Linked DNA regions of Canis lupus familiaris. The protein of the gene in region 4 interacts with the protein of the main gene of each other region in a pairwise test. Links are inferred from orthologs where the notes say so. Each region holds a gene or a part of one and is shown on either strand. Other genes may lie near its edges. The genes, in order: RCN3, HDX, GLIS3 and SUFU.

The links.
Region 1: the proteins of SUFU (region 4) and RCN3 interact in binary tests that used the Homo sapiens proteins (3 or more experiments, as listed by UniProt). The two-hybrid records come from large-scale screens. The link is inferred for Canis lupus familiaris from reciprocal best matches to the Homo sapiens genes SUFU and RCN3.
Region 2: the proteins of SUFU (region 4) and HDX interact in binary tests that used the Homo sapiens proteins (3 or more experiments, as listed by UniProt). The link is inferred for Canis lupus familiaris from reciprocal best matches to the Homo sapiens genes SUFU and HDX.
Region 3: the proteins of SUFU (region 4) and GLIS3 interact in binary tests that used the Homo sapiens proteins (3 or more experiments, as listed by UniProt). The link is inferred for Canis lupus familiaris from reciprocal best matches to the Homo sapiens genes SUFU and GLIS3.

Annotation. Positions count from the first base shown.
Region 1 is NC_049222.1:107,642,318-107,646,206, forward strand, and holds the end of RCN3 (reticulocalbin-3), read right to left. Parts: intron 1,781-3,889; coding exon 1,581-1,780; intron 1,335-1,580; coding exon 1,227-1,334; 3' UTR 759-1,226; downstream 1-758. UniProt on the Homo sapiens protein: Probable molecular chaperone assisting protein biosynthesis and transport in the endoplasmic reticulum.
Region 2 is NC_049260.1:65,564,548-65,569,051, reverse strand, and holds part of HDX (highly divergent homeobox), read left to right. Parts: intron 1-3,393; coding exon 3,394-4,504.
Region 3 is NC_049222.1:93,382,405-93,386,908, reverse strand, and holds part of GLIS3 (zinc finger protein GLIS3), read left to right. Parts: intron 1-2,545; 5' UTR 2,546-2,644; coding exon 2,645-3,032; intron 3,033-4,504. UniProt on the Homo sapiens protein: Acts both as a repressor and an activator of transcription. Binds to the consensus sequence 5'-GACCACCCAC-3'.
Region 4 is NC_049249.1:15,181,617-15,186,730, forward strand, and holds the start of SUFU (suppressor of fused homolog), read left to right. Parts: upstream 1-2,089; 5' UTR 2,090-2,270; coding exon 2,271-2,452; intron 2,453-5,114. UniProt on the Homo sapiens protein: Negative regulator in the hedgehog/smoothened signaling pathway. Down-regulates GLI1-mediated transactivation of target genes. Down-regulates GLI2-mediated transactivation of target genes. Part of a corepressor complex that acts on DNA-bound GLI1.

The DNA.
Region 1 (3,889 bases), on a different chromosome or scaffold from region 4:
TTTGTTTTTTGCAGATTTTATTTGACACAGAGAGAGTGCTAGAGAGCACAAGCAGGGGAGCAGTAGAAGGAGAGAGAGAAGCAAACTCCCTACTGAGCAGAGAGCCCAATATGGGGCTCAATCCCAGGACCCCAGGATCATGACCTAAGCTGGAGGCAGACGCTTAACCAACAGAGCCACCCAAGCTCCCTTCTAGAGGAAAATTTAACGAGTAGGTCTCATGGGGCTGCAGAAGGGCCCATAATATCCTGTCCTTCTGTCCCAACTCAGCAGCAAGGTGGCTCACATCTACTCCTCTCCTTAAGACCCTGTATGACCTAATCTCGGTCACCTCCCTTCCTCTCTCACTTGCTGACTCCATTCCAGCCACACTGGCCTCCTGGTTGATCTGAGCACACACACGGGGCACACTCTGGCTTCAGAGCCCTTTGCTGTTCCTTCTGCCCTCTGGCTCTCCCTCCAGGCCTCCCCAGGGCTTACTTCCTCATTCTGCTCACCAGTAAGGCCCCTCCTGGCCACTCAACGGAGCACTGCCATCCTGTGCTTTCCAGAGGGCAGAGCCGTCTGTCTGGCTTGTTCCCCGCTGAGTCCGGTTGCCTAGTTTTATTGTCTCCAGGAATGCCCTCAAATCCTGCCAACCCCCTTAACCCCCTCTTCGAATGTCTGAACCCTGCAGTCCACAGCCCCTCCATCCCCAGCCACAGCCCCCAATTCCTCCCCAAGGCCCCTGTCGCCCCCTTAGAGACACAGAGACGAGGCCCCAGCACTGGAGTTTATTGCCTCCCTGGCAGAGAGGAGGCATCCTGGGGGCAGGGCCGGGGGGCAGGCGAGTCTGAGGCCAGTGAGGTGGGGTGTTTCTCTGCTGTGTGATCTGAGGCTCAGATTTGGAGCTGGGGTGCTCAGTGGAGGCTCTTGGAGGCTGAGCTTGGTATTGGGGGGAGCCCTGGGCTGGGCTGGATGATTCTGCCAATGAGAAACAGATGTTCACTTACCCTTTGGGTCTCTGAGCCTCCTGAGGGTGGGGTGGGAAGGGCTGGGGGTGCTGCAGTATCTTGGAGAAGTTGACCTGCTGTGTCCCTGAGAGCTCGGGCAGAGGGACACAGGGTGGATAGAGGTGTCCACATGCTACAGGTCCAGATGGGGAGGGGGGCCTGGCCACGGGGGCCCCTCCTTGGGTCACCCTGTGGGGCTACAAGGCTCGTAGTGGGCGCCCTGGGGCCTGGGGCTCAGAGCTCATCATGGTGACGTGTCAGGTCCTCGCCGTAGTTGGTGGCCTGGCTGCCCACGAACATGTTCCAGTTACTCAGGATCTCGGCCTTGCTCAAACGCCCATCCTGGAGGGAGGGTCACAGGTCAGCAGGGGGGACAAGGGGCCCTGCCTGTGACACTCCTCTCTGAACCTCTCCAGCCCACGGCTTTCTGGGTCCCTGTCCCCTACCTTTCCTCCACTCCCTCCCTGGGTCTCTCTATTCCTCTTTTAATCCCTGCCCTAACAGGCCCCCTCCCCCCCATCCCTACCCCCATCCTGGGTCTGGGGGGCCCAGGTCTGGGCATTTCTGCACAGCAGCCCCCTGGGGCACCTTGTCCGTGTCGCTCTCATGTAGCAGGTGGTTGGCCTCCACCAGCGGCTGGTCCTGGGCCGGGGGTAGCACCCAGTGGCCCACCTCGCTGCCGTCCAGCCGCCCATCCTTGTTCAGATCGCGGAAGTCCCGGAATTGCTCCCGCTCGGTCTGGACCCAGGCCGGCTCCTCCTCCCCGGGCTCGGCTGAATACAGATCCGCTGGGCCAGGCAAGAAGGGGCGACGTCAGGCAGTTCTGGTGGGCACCCCGGGGCTCTGTCCCTGCCCTGACGCCTCCCAATCCCAGACCCCATCCCAGACCCCAGAACCCCGGGCTGCCCCCTTTGCTTTCTCTCTCGCCTCGGTTCCCTCTTCTGTTTGAATGGGATTGATAGTGACACCGGACTGACAGGTGATCGCCCTGCCACAAGGAAAATTACTTGACTGATGGATCATTTCCTCAACTAGCTGTCAGTCAGTTGGCCTGATAACACATAGGAAATGCTGCGTGTCCCTTGTTGTGCAGTGCACACAGTCACACCCCAACCCTTAGAACAGCTCACCCCACTTTAAGAACTGTGTGCTGGGCAGTACAGAGGGCCCGTGATGTTGATGAGCACTGGGTCTTATACTATATGTTGGCAAATTGAATTTAAATTTTTTTAAAGATTTTACTTTTTATTTATTCATGAGAGACACAGAGAGAGGCAGAGACACAGGCAGAGAGAGACCAGGCTCCCCGCAGGGAGCCTGATGTGCGACTTGATCCCAGCACCCCAGGATTACGCCCTGAGCCAAAGGCAGACACTCAACCACTGAGCCACCCAGGTGACCCTGAACTTAAATTAAAAAAAAAAATCGGGGTGCCTGGGTTGTTTGGTTGGTTGGGCAGCTGCCCTTGGCTCAGGGCGTGATCTGGAGTCCCCCAGATCCAGATCTAGCCCCGCATCCAGCTGCCTGCTCAGTGGGGAGTCTGCTTCTCTCTCTGACCCTCATGGCTCTCATGCGCTTGCTCTCTCTCTCTCTCTCTCTCTCTCTCTCATGCTCTCTCAAATAAAGAAAATCTTTTAAAATTTTTTAAATTTTTAAATAAATAAATAAATAAATAAGAACTTCACTCAGGATTGTTGGAGCCTCTCATTTGTTTCCGTTACTTGTAAACGTTTGAAAAACTCTTCCCCTAACCTTGCCGCTAGGGGCTGTCTGGGAGAAAGCAGCCCACAGATGGGTTTGGAAGACATTACCACCCAATAAAAAGTATGAAGGTCTCTATACCAGATCCAAGACCATGATAAGTACAGAATGCCTTCCTCTCCTCAGGGACCAGGCCAGGCAGCTGTCACAAGGATGTCACCAAAGACAGAGCAGGTGCTGGACACTCAGTAAGCTTTCCAGAACAGTGAGTGCAGAGAACCCCCCTTTTTTTTTAGTGGTTCTAAGTCATATTTTCTTCCAGGAAGTGATGGCAACAGTAGACGGGAGCTGTCGTAGGTTTTTTTAACTTGTGGAGAAAAACTTACAAAGATTCAAAACGTAAGCTTAAAAAATAAAAACAAAAAATAAGGGGTGTCTGGCTGGCTCTGTTGGAAGAGCATTTGACTCTTTGTTTTTGTTGTTGTTTTTTAAAGATTTTATCTATTCATGAGAAACACAGAGAGAGAGAGAGAGAGGCAGAGACATAGGAAGAGGGAGAAGCGGGCTCCCTGCGGGGAAAAGCAGAAAGACACTCAGCCACTGAGCCACCCAGGTATCCTAGCATTTGACTCTTGATTGAAGGGTGGGGTGGTAGTTGTGTGTTTGAGCTCTATGTTGGAAGGAGAGATAACTTAAATAAATAAATAAAAATTTAAAGATTTAAATAAATAAATGAGCTTTAAACAATTTTTAAATTGTGGTAAAAAGCACATAACATAAAGCCACCATTAGTGGCATTTAGAATCTTCACAGTGTTCGCAGCAACCACATCCACCCAGAACATTTCCATCCCCCCAAAGGGAGACCCTTTTCCCATTAAGAAGCAACTCCCTGGGCAGCCCGGTGGCTCAGCGGTTTAGCGCCGCCTTCAGCTCAGGTCATGATCCTGGAGTCCCAGGATAGAGTCCTGCATCTGGCTCCCCGCAGGGAGCCTGCTTCTCCTTCTGCCTGTGTCTCTGCCTCTCTCTCTGTGTCTCTCATGAATAAATAAAACCTTTTTTAAAAAAATTAAAGAAGAAGTGACTCCTTTCTGCATCCCCCCCACTTCAGCCCCTAGCAATTAGTAATCTAATTCCTGTCTCTTATGAATCTTCCTATCCTGAATATTTCATATAAATGGAGTCATACAAGAATAT
Region 2 (4,504 bases), on a different chromosome or scaffold from region 4:
TTTTTTCTCTCACCAATGAGGCATTTGGAATGAGAATCATTTATATCCTGTAGGCACTCGTTATTTTTGGATTGTGTAACTGAATGATTTAAATAAAATTTAATTCGGTTATTGGGAATGCTCAGGCAATACATTTTCTTTATTTTCAGAATTTTAAAAATATTTCTTAAGTATACACTTTCCCACTTTAACTTCAGTGGAAAATATTGAATTCAACCTTTACTTTTTGACTCAGTTGCATTATTAAATGAATTACTGTACTATGCTATAAAATAATAACTCTCATAACATGGTTAGCTATATGGATTTATTTTCTCCTTCACTAAAGAACAACAAACTAATTATTTCTCACATTAATTCTCTTATGTTTTCCTTACTTCTCCTTTTTTTTACTTCCCCTTTTTAATGAGCAAAATATCATGGACATTCCATTTCGGTGCTATCAAGTTGCCTCCAATTGCAATCTCTATCACCAATGCTCTACTTATTTTGTTATTTCTAATTTGTTATAGATTAGAATACCAGATTTGGTGAAATAATGTATAAAATAAGAGGAAGTGTGTTTTAAGGTGGACGATTGTGCTTTAGTAAAGTACATGTATCTTGTGATATCTATATTGTCTGTTCTAGACAAATGAAATTGTTAGATAGCTGAGCTTCATATGCATGTGATACGCTACTGCGTTTTACTTTTTGATGAGTATGTAATATAAATATCTAAAAATGGGTAGGAAATATCAGAAAGGGAGATAGAACATAAAGACTCTTAACTCTGGAAAATGAACTAGGGGTGGTGGAAGGGGAGGAGGGCGGGGAGTGGGGGAGAATGGGTGACGGGCACTGAGGGGGGCACTTGACAGGATGAGCACTGGGTGTTATTCTGTATGTTGGCAAATTGAACACCAATAAAAAATAAATTTATTATTTAAAAAATAAAAACTACATAAATTACTATATTTAGAAATATACATATATATAGAAATATACACATTGTATATACTGTATATTTCTATATATGTCTATATGTATATATATTATGCATACCATATACTATATATACTAAGCATTTCTATATATGTATATTTCTATATTTAGATTGCAAATTTATGGCTTATTTAATATTTTATGTAAAACTATTCACTAAGATCACTCTTAAACTTCCTGCATTAAGGTAGTTATATTAGAGGACGTTTATTTGTTTTCTTAGAAATATTGCCCAGAGCTACCTTCCAGATTTAGTAGTCCTTGAGTTAAAATTTTACAAATTCACTATGCCATCCCACTGAAAGTTTCTGAGTGTAATGATTGTACATTTTAAAAAATTATGAACAAACACATTATACTTCCTATGCATGTTTTTCAAACTTGAAAAACCATAAGAGAGTAACTTATTTTGAATATTTGTAAAATTCACCTTTTTAAATCATACCTTGAAATTATATTTATCCAAAAATATTTCGAGTATATACTTTAAAACCTTTCACTTTTTCTACTCTGCCTCATTCTCCTTTGACATTTTATTTCTTTGTTCCTCTGCTTGTAATTCTCACCTCTGCTGTTTAATAAAACTAAATTAGAATGAGTTTAAAATTCCCACAGCCTCATGTGAAGCAAAATAGAGCATCTATATCTCTAGAATATTTTCCTTGTTAGAGAAATACTAATTATAAAAGTAAAATGGCCAATAAAGATGACCATTTCAGGAGTTTCTTGCATTAGTGGAAGGAGATTTTGCTTTGAGGTCAAGTAAAATTGATTTTGAATCCTTGCTCCAACACCTGCTGACACGTTATCCTTCTATATGCTACTTAATACTTCTGAACCCCATTTTTTTTCATTTATACAATTAGGAAGAATAATCAAATAAGCTAATATATATAAACACATAATGGGGATTCAATATATGTTAGCTTTTATTTGTAGAATTACAGCAACATTAATGGTGTAAGCATCAAAAACTGAGTAATTTTTGTGGTCTTCAAAAACACGTCACATAAAAGTTAACAAATACACCCTGCACCATGTTTGTGGTAGTTTAGTTCATTTAATATTTTCACTTATTTTATTTTTTTAAAAAAATATAATAGATTAATGTGTTTTGGTAGTTTATAAATATGGTACGCATTTTGAAATAGTTACAAAGTTTACTGATCACATTATGGAATGTATTTCTTAGAGCATATTTCTTATTGCATAATTATGATTCAGTGTAATATCACTGTGATTGTTAAAACAAATTACTTATATAAAAGTACATATTTTTAAATTAAACCTAAATGCCAACCTATTTTATTATTTTATTAATAATGATTTTTCTGTTTATAAAAGTAATACACATTTACTATATAAAATTTGGTAGGTAGAGAGAACTATAAAGAAGGAAATAACTACCATAAATTAATGACAAACTGGGAGAAGTATTTGTAACTTGTGATGAAGTGTTGCTATCTCTAGTAAAAAATTGTTTTATATATCAATTTAAAAAGATAAATACTCCAATGTAAAAATGAGTAAAGTTAATGGATAGACAGTTTATTAAAGTAATATAGTAACCATAGAAATTCCAATGAAAACAGTGATTATATACCTTATATTTAATCCTAGGCTACTAAAGACTACAAAAAGATAACGCAAAATGTTGTTGAGGGTGTAGGGAAACCAGAACTCATACATCGGAGGGTACTTTGAAAGTATCAAAATGCCCAACACTTTCCCTTCTAGGATAGCATTCTAATGGACCAGTAGCACAAAGATGCACATACAGTGACATGTATTTCAGTATCATTTATAATAGTGAATACTTCTAAAATAACCCATTAGTATCTAGCGATAAATAAATTAACCAAGTTATGATATATTTGTAGAACAGAAGTTGTCAAACCTGAAGATTACAAGTATATAGTTATTTAATAATACTCTGAGCATTTTCCAATCTTGGTAAGCATCCTACTTTTAGTATGCTTCCAATTTTTCACTATTATAAATAAATATATGACGAACTTAATTGCATATAAACTTTGTATATATCTATGATTATTTTTAGGATAAATTCCTAGAAACGGATTTACTAGGTCAAGGGATATAAACATTTTTAGGATTCTTGCTACAGATTAATTGAATGGATTTTGAGGAAAGAAGCAATAATACAATTCTGTTATCAAAGTTCCTAGATATTTGTTAAGAGTAAGCTCTTGTCTGACCTTATACTTTATTTATTTTTATTTTTTAATCTTATACTTTAGTTACTTTTTCTTTTATTATATCTTTTTTGTTTTAAATTTGTATAGGACTTATTCCTATGACAAATGAGAGTACAGTTTATCACATTGGAAGTGTTTTTTCTTATTGTTTTTGTTAAGAACATTTTTATATTGTCATTTTTTATCCTTACAGACGTGGGTTGGCAATAAGAGAAGAAAAATGAGTAGTAAGAATTCTGAATCAGGAGCAACAACAGGAACACTTGCTGGTACCTCTTTGACAGCTCCAGACATTACAGTCAGAAATGTAGTTAACATCACTAGACCCTCAAGCCAACAGTCTTCTTGGACATCTGCCAATAATGATGTCATTGTAACTGGTACATACAGTCCGGCAAGTTCATCAAGTAGGCAAGTGACAACCAAACTTTCAGATACACAACTTACAGAAGCACATAAAATTCCTGTTCAGAAAACAGCCAGTAAAAATGATACTGAGTTTCAGTTGCACATTCCTGTTCAAAGACAAGTAGCACACTGTAAAAATGCCTCTCTGCTCTTAGGTGAAAAAACAATTATCTTATCAAGACAGACAAGTGTGCTAAATGCTGGAAACTCAGTATACAGCCACACCAAGAAAAACTATGGAAGCTCTTCAATGCAAGCCTCTGAGATGATGGTACCTCAAAAGCCATCTGAATGCCACCGACCTTGCAAAATTGAACCAGTTGGAATTCAAAGGTCATATAAGCCCGAACACACAGGTCTAGCTTCACATAACTTATGTGGACAAAAGCCACCTATTAGAGACCCTTACTGTAGAACACAAAACTTGGAAATCCGCGAAGTATTTTCATTGGCTGTTAGTGACTACCCCCAGAGAATTCTAGGAGGAAATGCCCCACAGAAGCATAGTTCAGCAGAAGGAACTTGTTTGTCCATTGCAATGGAGACTGGAGATGCTGATGATGAATATGCCAAAGAGGAAGAGTTGGCATTGATGGGAGCACAGATACCAAGCTACTCAAGATTTTATGAAAGTGGTAGATCCCATGGAGCAGAGAACCAAAGTACTGCATTGCCTGGACCAGGAAGAAATATGCCAAATTCCCAAATGGTAAATATTAGAGATTTTTCAGACAATGTACTGTATCAAAACAGAGACTACCATTTGACACCACGGACCTCATTACATACAGTAGCTACTACAATGTACAGTAATACAAATCCATCACGGAGTAATTTTTCATCGCATTTTGCTTCATCAAACCAGCTGAGGTTATCACAAAACCAAAACAATTACC
Region 3 (4,504 bases), on a different chromosome or scaffold from region 4:
ATAAATGATCATATGGCCTTGCTAAAAAGTATATAAAGTACTTTAATACCAGTAGATAAAATTGATTTTTAAATTCTTGTCTCTAATGCTTGAAAGATCCATTGGCATGATTAATGTGCGAACTGGGTTATTAAGCATATTTTCACACAGAGTTTATATTATTTTGTCTTGAGGTTGGTTTTCCTAGCTTGTATGCCATCACCTTACTGGTGTTTCTTTATGGCATTCATCACTTTGCTTTCTGGCTGTTGCTTTTTTAGTAATAAAATTTAAGTGCATTTTTGTTATTGTTGTTGTTACTTTCAATCTAAAGGTATTTAAAACAGGAGTTCAGTTTAAAAATAAAATAAAAGTCCAGCTTGACAGGCAGGTATGAATATCTGATACTTAATTAGCTTCTCAGCACATTATTTTTCTCACAAACCTAATTAATGATCTAACCTAATGCTAAGTACCTACTTATGTGTTTTTATCCAGATTTTTGATGAGAATTCCTGCTTGTATTGATCTTGCTGCCAAAAATGACTCCTTTGTTTTTAAAAACTGGAAGTGGGGCATAGTCTGTAAATCTACAGATGCTTGTCACATGGACTCATGATGGCTCATAATGCCAGTCATGTTGGATGATTCCTCATTTTCAACAAATTGCCAATACAACATATATACTTACTTCTTTTGGTTGGTGCTGAGTAAGTCCTCTCTTTTGCAGGGTTAAGAGTAGTCAGAAAATGCTATTTTATGAATGAGTGAAGAATAGATGGCCAACATCCTCTGGCAAAGCACAGAGATATGAAATGATTCTTGGTCACAGTCAACCCACGACTCAACAGACCAGATGATAATTCACTGGAGTTCTTAAATGGACACAGCTGGAAAGGCATTGGGAATTTTCCCAATGTAAAAAACCAAAATCTTACAACCCGTTTAGTACTAGGGTTTATTTCTTATTGTTCCATGAAATAACTCAAAGTGATAAAGTTTGGGTAGGCTGGCTTTCCTTGTCCGTTCTTGGGGACTGTAATGGAAGGAAGGGCAGGAGCAGGGGCTCAGAGTGTTTCTCAGGATTGAATGGTGTGGCCATATGAAATATGCTGGACTGATAGAATTCTTAATAAAGTAGAAAATTGGTAAAGGCGAGGGAAACATTCCAAATGTTATATTGTTAATAATTTTTGAAGTTTCTCAACATTTGGGCACACACTAAACTTTGCAGAGGGCAGAGTGAGTGCTTGACTTGAAAATCAAATCTTTTGATTTTCCAAAAGGATAAATGAAAAAAAAAATCTTCTTCACAGAGAGTTTTCCCTTCAATATTCTGTCCCTGATGGCTGATGGAGCCATTTATTTGAGAGTTGGTTGGAAATATTTGTCTAAGACATTGAGTGGATCCTAGAGAAAACGTAGGAATCATCCAGTAGAGAATATCTGACTACTACCACCGTGTACTCAGCCATATCTCCTATATTTGTTCAGCTTTGGCTTCTTTGCATGACAATCATATCTGTGTAAAAGAATACAGATTGTGACTATGTTTGTCATTCATTTGGAATAGTGGCACTTAGTCACCTCCTTGACTCTATACACATTTTATGAGCTTTTGGTTAAGGGAGGGAAGGGCCTTTCCTAAAGATTTGTAGCCAGAGAGTACTGACGTTATGATATACAGATGGATAATGGTGTCCTGTGGTGATACTAGTGCTGTTGGTTCTTTCTTTGTCACTTGAGGAAGGTGGCGGTGGGGTGGCAGATGAAACCATGTTTGTGGAACTATGGTTGATTTACTATGTGTGGTGTGTATGGTGAACATAATTGCCTCCTTCTTTCATTATGCTTTCCATGAAGTGTTTTGCAGAGACTTTTCCTTTTCTAGGATCTTAATAGAAGGTGAGAGTATTGTGGTGTTGATTCTTTTTCCATCCCCATAACTCAGAATCATTATGGAACCAAGACTCTGATGCTGCTGTATTTGGATATGTGGTTATATGACGTCTTTGTGAGAATCCCAAGCCCCTATTTTTATCTTACGTGAGTCTAGGGACTGTGAAAATTTTGCTCTTACAATAAAAATCAGAGAGTGGTTTAATATCCCCATAATTTCATTTAGAGGCCATATCTGCCTTTTGCTTGTTTACTGGAAACTTTGGAGCATTGGTCTCACAGCTCGCAAAGGTGATGCTTTGGATTTCCCAAGACTCACTGTAGCAAAAGTGAACTAGTATGGACAGATCTTCTAGGGAGCCAAATAAGTTTCACTTTGCAAGCTGGCACCAGTTGATCGGTTGTAGTTGCCAAGAGCACTGTATTGAGAAGGGCTCAGTGGCAAACAAAACAATACAGTGATCCATAATCCATGTCTACCATGAATGCAGGAGGGGAGAGTGCCTGCCAATGAACCATGTATTTGATGACCCTGCTTTACATAAAAGGCTGTTTTGCTAAGAGTGCTTCTTTTCTTCCTGATATGAATGCTACACAGGTTGAAAACTCACTGTGACTTAGTTTCATTTTTACTTTTAAAAATGCCTGTATTTATTTTTTTAAACAGGCTAATAACCCACACCATGGATAACTTATTGGACTTTGCCTGAAAGGAGTCATTAGTGCCATTGGATATTTGACCATCCTGGCCACAGGTTTTTTCAGAATGAATGGAAGGTCATGCAGCATGAGTCTCCACCGGACATCAGGAACCCCACAGGGGCCTGGGATGGTCAGTGGCCAACACATTCCTCCCATCCGAGCCCACTCTGGGACTCCTGGCCCCACGTCCTGTGGCAGCACAGCAAGCCCTGCCATCGGAAGCCTTGGTAACAGCCTCCATCTCAAGATGCCCTCGGGAGGAGGGATGGCTCCTCAGAGCAACATGGCCGAGAGCCCCCTCCATCTGCCCGCCTTGAGCCCCAGGAGACAAGTGCTCACCAATGGGAAGCCACGATACCAGGTCACCCAGGCTGGAGGCATGTCAGGGCCACACACTTTAAAGCCAAAGCAGCAGGAGTTTGGAAATCCTTTTCCTCCAAATCCTGGGAAAGGTAGGATTGTCTTTCTGGGATCTTTTAAAAGTGGAAACGATTTTTTTTCTCCTCTCCAGATCCTTCTCTGCCAGCAAATCTTATGGAAAAACACATGATTGAATGTAAGGGTCAAAGCTGATAGTCTCTTAATGATATGTAGCTTTCTTGGTACGGGGATGGATGTGTACTTGTGTGAGGGTAAGGAGACCACAGGGGTAAATGTGGTACCTCATGGGGCTGTGGAGCAGAGCAAAAGGTGAGACAGAAAGATCAGACATAGGGAGTGAGGGTGGGTGGTGGTGGTGGAGGGCAGGAGCCAGTTTAGGAAGCCCCTAACCTCAGGATGTACAAAGGGACTGGATTCCTTGGGCCACAGAGCAGAGGGGCGGCCAGAGCCATCATGATGTGGGTTGGGTGCTAGAAGGAAAGTTTGGAAGGAAAAGGATAAGAAGGGGGAAGGTTTAACAGCGAATAGAGTGAGGAATTCATACATAGAAATGATAAAAAATTATTCCAAGAGCAAGACTCATATAAGTTTTATAGTTTAGCTGGTGACAAGAGGGAAGGAAGCCAGAAGAGAATAATGAAACGATGTATTTTGGGGCTTGTGAAGAACTAGAAAACTTGGTTAATTTGAAGTGCAGAGAGAACGTGCTTTTAGTTCAGTAATGTTTGAATAACATGTATTTTAAATTACGGAATTGTTAAAAATATTACGGAATTGTTGGAGAATAACAAATTATTCGAATGACACACTCTGTCTATAGGAACTGATGTTGACGTAATGAGTGATGTTGCACATGAAATGTGTATTTGGGCTAGAAAAAAAGAAAGAATATATATCTCATGTGAAATATAGCTTGGTTACATAAAATAGCACAATTACATATACTGGTAGGTATTTTTAGCATTTGGTTTTAGTTGTTTGTATTAGGTGGGTACACTACCAAATAAAATTGCCAGCAGCTGGAATAGTCATTCACCCAGTTAACTCATAACTCACCCAGTTCAGGTGAATACTCATTTGTAGCAGATGAGTAACCAAAAAGTTGTTTTAGTGTCTTTGTATTCCTCTGTATGGTATAAATGGACAGGTTAAGAAAAAACCCTAAATATGTACGTAGCTTTTTTCTTATTTTGGTTTAGGTTTGACTTTAGATTGTTTTATTTCTCACACCTATTGATATTTAGAACAAGCATAGGAAAAACTTTCCCTGGGGGTGCATCCAAAATCATTCGATCCTTGTCAGGTTGCTGCGTCATAGCATGGTGAGCTACGTTCCTTGATGTCAGGCTCATGTGTTTGCATTTTTAGGTGTGGAGGCCCAGTTTTTGAATCCTGGCTGACAATATTAATGCTGATAGTACTAACAGCTTCTATTTATTATGTCATAAATAAGCCTGTATCAGGCACTGTATTGGGTGCTTCCAACACAGAATCTCAGTTATTCCTCAAAACAGCCCTAGGTTGTATGGTACTGCTGATTAAG
Region 4 (5,114 bases):
CATACACATACACACACGGAAGGAGGACATACATTCAGAACAAAAAAATAAATTTTATAACATTTGCTTTTCGGGAAAAAAAAAACAGCACATTTTGGTTCTTTTCGCATTTTTTCCTGGGTTGGTATAAACTTTGCAACAGGCCAACATCGGTCTGAAGACTGGCATTTGGGTACAGGTGATCTTTTGATCACTAAAAACATCATTTATTTAATAGCTTCAGGAACTGCTTTATTATCTCTTATGTTCATGGGGAGTTACAATTGACATTGATAAATGAGAAAATGGAGGTGAGGAGAAATTATGTGTCACTGCCCAGTGCATCTTTCTCTAGATGAACCAATCCCTCCCGTTCAAATAGTGGAGACCCTTTAGTCAATAGCACTGGTAATTAGGACTTCCTTTTATTCCTTTCTCTTGGAATTATTTATTGTACCCTGGAAAATAATTCTCAACTAGGTGGCTTAGGAATTAAAAATTCTCCCAGGGGTGGCTGGCTCGCTAAATCGGGAGAACACATGGCTCTTAATCTGGGGGTTGTAACTTCGAGCCCCACATTGGATGTAGAGATTACTTAAAATAACAAAAAATTCTCCCAGTTACAGAAAGCCAATGGTAATGGGAAAGAGCAGGTCTATAGTAGATAATGAATATTGATGTTCCTTAAGGCAATCTGCATAAAACAGAACAAAGAAGAGATTGTCATCACTAAAAGCATTTATTTTAAAAATTACCAAGTCTTGGGGTGCCTGGGTGACTCAGTAGGTTAAGTGTCTGCCTTGAGCTCTGGTCATGATCTCTGGATCCTGGGATCCAGCAGTAGGGAGTCTGCTTCTTCCTCTCCCTCTGCCTCTCTCCCCCACTGTTCTCTCTCTCTTTCAAATAAATAAAATCTTAAAAAAAATAAAGACAAAAAATTACCAAGTTTTAAAAACTAGTCTTAGTTTACCTAACTCTTCCTACTTTTTAATTTTTTTTAAAGATTCTATTTATTTATTCATAGAGACACAGAGTGAGAGAGAGAGAGAGAGAGAGAGAGAGAGAGGCAGAGGGAGAAGCAGGCTCCACGCAGGGAGCCCGACATGGGACTCGATCCAGGGTCTCCAGGATCACGCCCTGGGCTGCAGACGGCGCTAAACCGCTGCACCACCGGGGCTGCCCTTGCTACTTTAAAAAAAAAAAAAGATTTTATTTATTCAAGAGAGACACACAGAGAGAGAGGCAGAGACATAGGTAGAGAGAGAGAAGCTGACTGCCTACAGGGAGCCCAATGTGGGACTCTATCCCAGAACTCTGGGACCATTCCCCGAGTCAAAGGCAGACGTTCAATCACTAAGCCACTCAGGCGTCCCTAACTCCTGCTACTTTTTTTTTTTCTTGCTACTTTTTTTTTAATTTTTTTAAATTTTTATTTATTTATGATAGTCATAGAGAGAGAGAGAGAGAGAGAGAGAGGCAGAGACACAGGCAGAGGGAGAAGCAGACTCCATGCACCGGGAGCCTGACGTGGGATTCGATCCCGGGTCTCCAGGATCGCGCCCTGGGCCAAAGGCAGGCGCTAAACCACTGCGCCACCCAGGGATCCCTCTTGCTACTTTTTAACAAGACTCCAAAGTAAATATTTCAACATACAACCCCTGAATTTGGCGGGGTTAGTGTCAGTAAATATGGTAAATGGACATTCAAAGATGGTAGGAAATATTCAGATTTATAATCTATTACAACTAAAGCCACGCTAAATGGACGAATGAATCAATCCACTATTGTCAAATTTGTGCTTAAATTCTTGTTAGCAGGGTGTCAGCACAATAGCGACAAGTCGTTCGTCAGCGAGCTTCCCACAGCTTTCCTGGGACCCTAGCACCTGAGGATGCCTCAACATTTCTATTTAAATCTGGGTTCCTCCTAACACTAGGGGGAGGCCAAGAGCCTTGGGACCCCCCCCACACACGGAGAGGGAGGCGGGACCTATTGCCAAGTCACGCCTTCCCCATCTGTGACTGGCACAGACACTAGCCAATGGATACCGGGATAGGGCGCGCCGGCGCCCCGCCCCCCCGAGCGCTCCGCGGCCCCCGAGGCACCCTCCGGCCGTCTCTGCGGCGGCTACGGCCTGGGCAGACGGTGCGCCGTGCGCAGGCGCGGAGCCTAGACCTCGCTGCAGCCCCCATCGCCTGGGGGAGTCGCACCCACGGAGTCCGCCTGCTGGCGCGTCAGAGCTCTCCCCCTCGTCCACCCTCCCCGGTCCCCCCAGCGCCCTACGCGCCCGGATGGCGGAGCTGCGGCCTAGCGGCGCCCCCGGCCCCGCCGCGCCCCCGGCCCCTGGCCCTAGTGCACCCCCGGCCTTCGCCTCGCTCTTCCCCCCGGGACTGCACGCCATCTACGGAGAGTGCCGTCGCCTTTACCCTGACCAGCCGAACCCGCTCCAGGTTACCGCTATCGTCAAGTACTGGTATGCCCTGGGCCGCGGGGAGACGGACGACGGCGGGCAGGGAAGGGTTAGAACGCCCGGGGCGAAGTCATCTGCGGGGGAGGAGGAGGTGGAGAAGAATGGTTAAAGCACTTGGAAAGAGGGCGTCCTGCTGCGAGGCAAGGAGTTAAGGCTGAAGTTGGGAACGGGGACAAAGGGGTTAACGGAGCCTCTGGGTAGAGGAGGGTTAACGAGGGGGGAGGATGAAGGGTTAACTGGGATTAGGAGAATAGAATGAATTGGGGGTGTGTGTGTAGGAGCGGGGGGGGGGGCCGATAGGAGAAAGGGAACTGTAAACGTGGTGAAAGGAGGGGGCGCCTGTAGGGGGTCATTAGTGGGCTAAGGGAAGCCGGGGGCGGGGGTGGGGGAAGAAGGGCGGCTGAAGTGGGATGGGGGAGGCGAGGCGGGGCCTGGGGAGCACAAGAGAGGGCTTTGGAGGAGTGCGGCTGGCGAGCTCAGAGGGCTTGAGACTGCACAGGGTACGGTGGATTTGGGGATCCCCGCTCTCCCATAGGTTAGGAGGGAGGCAAGTTGCGAGAGTCGTGCTTGTGAAGAGAGGAAGAGGAGGTCTCCTTTTAAGATACCTTCCCCATGAGCTCAGACGTCAGTCATATCGGTGCAGTGCTTTTGCGTTTGAAGTTTCACGGAGCAACTTTTCTTGATAAACTTTCTGCTTACTCGGCACAGTTCTCTTTCTCCAAGCAGAGCTTCCTTTGGCTCTGCACCCGCTTTGCCTAGGACATTGGCTAGAACAGAGGCACGGTCAGGGAGATAGATCCATGGTTTGGCTCAGGATTGCCGGGGACCCCAGTAAATGATGAAGACCTGAGACACGGAGCAAAGAAGTGCAGCCAGATGTTTAGAGGGGCTTCCTGGCCCCAAGCTTCAGGATTTAGACCACAGTCTCTCAGGGAAGCTGAGAGTAACCCTCAAGTGGCTCTGTTCAGGATCATAGAAGGCCTGCCCTTGGGGTAGGAATGGTCCTTTCTTGTTTCCCATTCCTGTTTGCAACCTATCTCTTTTCACAGCCACTGGGCAAAACAGGTGTTAGAGGGACTCTGACAAAGAGCCTGTCTTCATGGTCTTTCTGGACCATATTGACTGAGGAATTGGTAGAATTTGTCCAGAACTGCATTCATGCAGGCACTGTATTAAATAATCCCCTTCACTGAGTCCTGAAAGACTGTTCAGAAAAAAGCTTGGGATGTGCCAAGGGGGCAGGTAGACCCAAAGGGGGAGGTTGAGAGAGTGGATGTCTTTGCTGGTTACCTCTTCTTTTAGGATGGAAGCTTCTCCAGGATAACCTCTTAACTTCCTCTGGAGATGGCAGAAACTAGACTGTCTGGGGCTGAGGCCAGTTGCCTGTGTCAGTGGGACAATATGAAGAGACAGGGCCTGGGGACCAGCCACCTCCTATGAGAGGGTCATGTCTGGTAGCCAGAGGAGATGTGGCCAGTGGTACAGTTCTCTCTTCAGCAGGCAAACTGTTCTTTGGTTGAGAGGAGTTTTTGAAGAGAGCTTCTGAGTGAAAAGCAGCTCTTGATAACTTAATCACCCATTCTCATTTCTTGCCTATATTTAAGTATGTGTTGTGATGAACTGTATTGGATTGTGTCATGGGGAAAGAGGGCCTGGTTCTGCGATGCTGTTGGTTCAGGTCTCATTTGAATGAACAGAGAAATCCCTACACAGACTTAGGCAACTGTTTTTATGTCACCCAGTTGGCCATGAAGGATAGAATTGTGTGCAGAAGATATTAAAGCACATGCAAAGGACTAAGACTGATTTGGGCAAGCTTGTTAACCAGGCAGGACTTATCTTCAGAAATGGGCCAACATGTAATGACTAATAAAGAGTACTTTGTGAGATTAGAAATGCTGGCCAGATGCAGAAAAATATAAGAAGGAGCAGCTGAGCAACTAGTTCTTTCTAAGATTTGGAAGGGTTTGCATAATTAAGATTCTGAAATTAATTCATTAATATACATCACACTTGGGATGCCACAAGGCCTCGTTAGCAGTTTGACTGACCAAGGCTACCTGGGTCTGGCTGTGGCCCACGGTCCCTTGAGATTCCTTTTCTTGTGACAGAAGGTTGGTTCTTTGGCTAGTGGACCTTGGCCGGCAGGGACATCCTGGCTGAAAGCTGATACTTTAGTGGGCAGGGAACAGAAACACAGAGGCAGAGCTTGTACCCAGGAGCCACTGCAGTCCTACAGCTGTCATGTGGAATGAAGTTAGGTGTTCAAGGAAGTAAGTTCAAGGAAGAGCATCAAGGGATACTCTGGGTCCTTGGATAACATATTTTTCTAAGTGCAAGATATGATTATTTTCTACATAATCATCTGTTTCCCATCAGGTGTCTGAGTAAGTAGAACAGAACACTGTGCTTGGGGACAAGGTTAATTTTGTCTGACTCTTGGTTATTCCTTACAGTTATAGTTTTAAGATAAAGCCTCGATCCTTGATGCAGTATCTCCTGAGAGAGGGCTGCAGAGGTGTGACAGATGGAGTATGGAAGTGTGGATACAGTTTTGCCACTTGTTGCTGGATGCACTTAGGCTGAAAGGGGCAAGACTGGGAATTTGCAGCAGGAAACTGGAGCAGATCTGGAGTTTGTAGTCACTCCCATCTGTTCTGGGCTT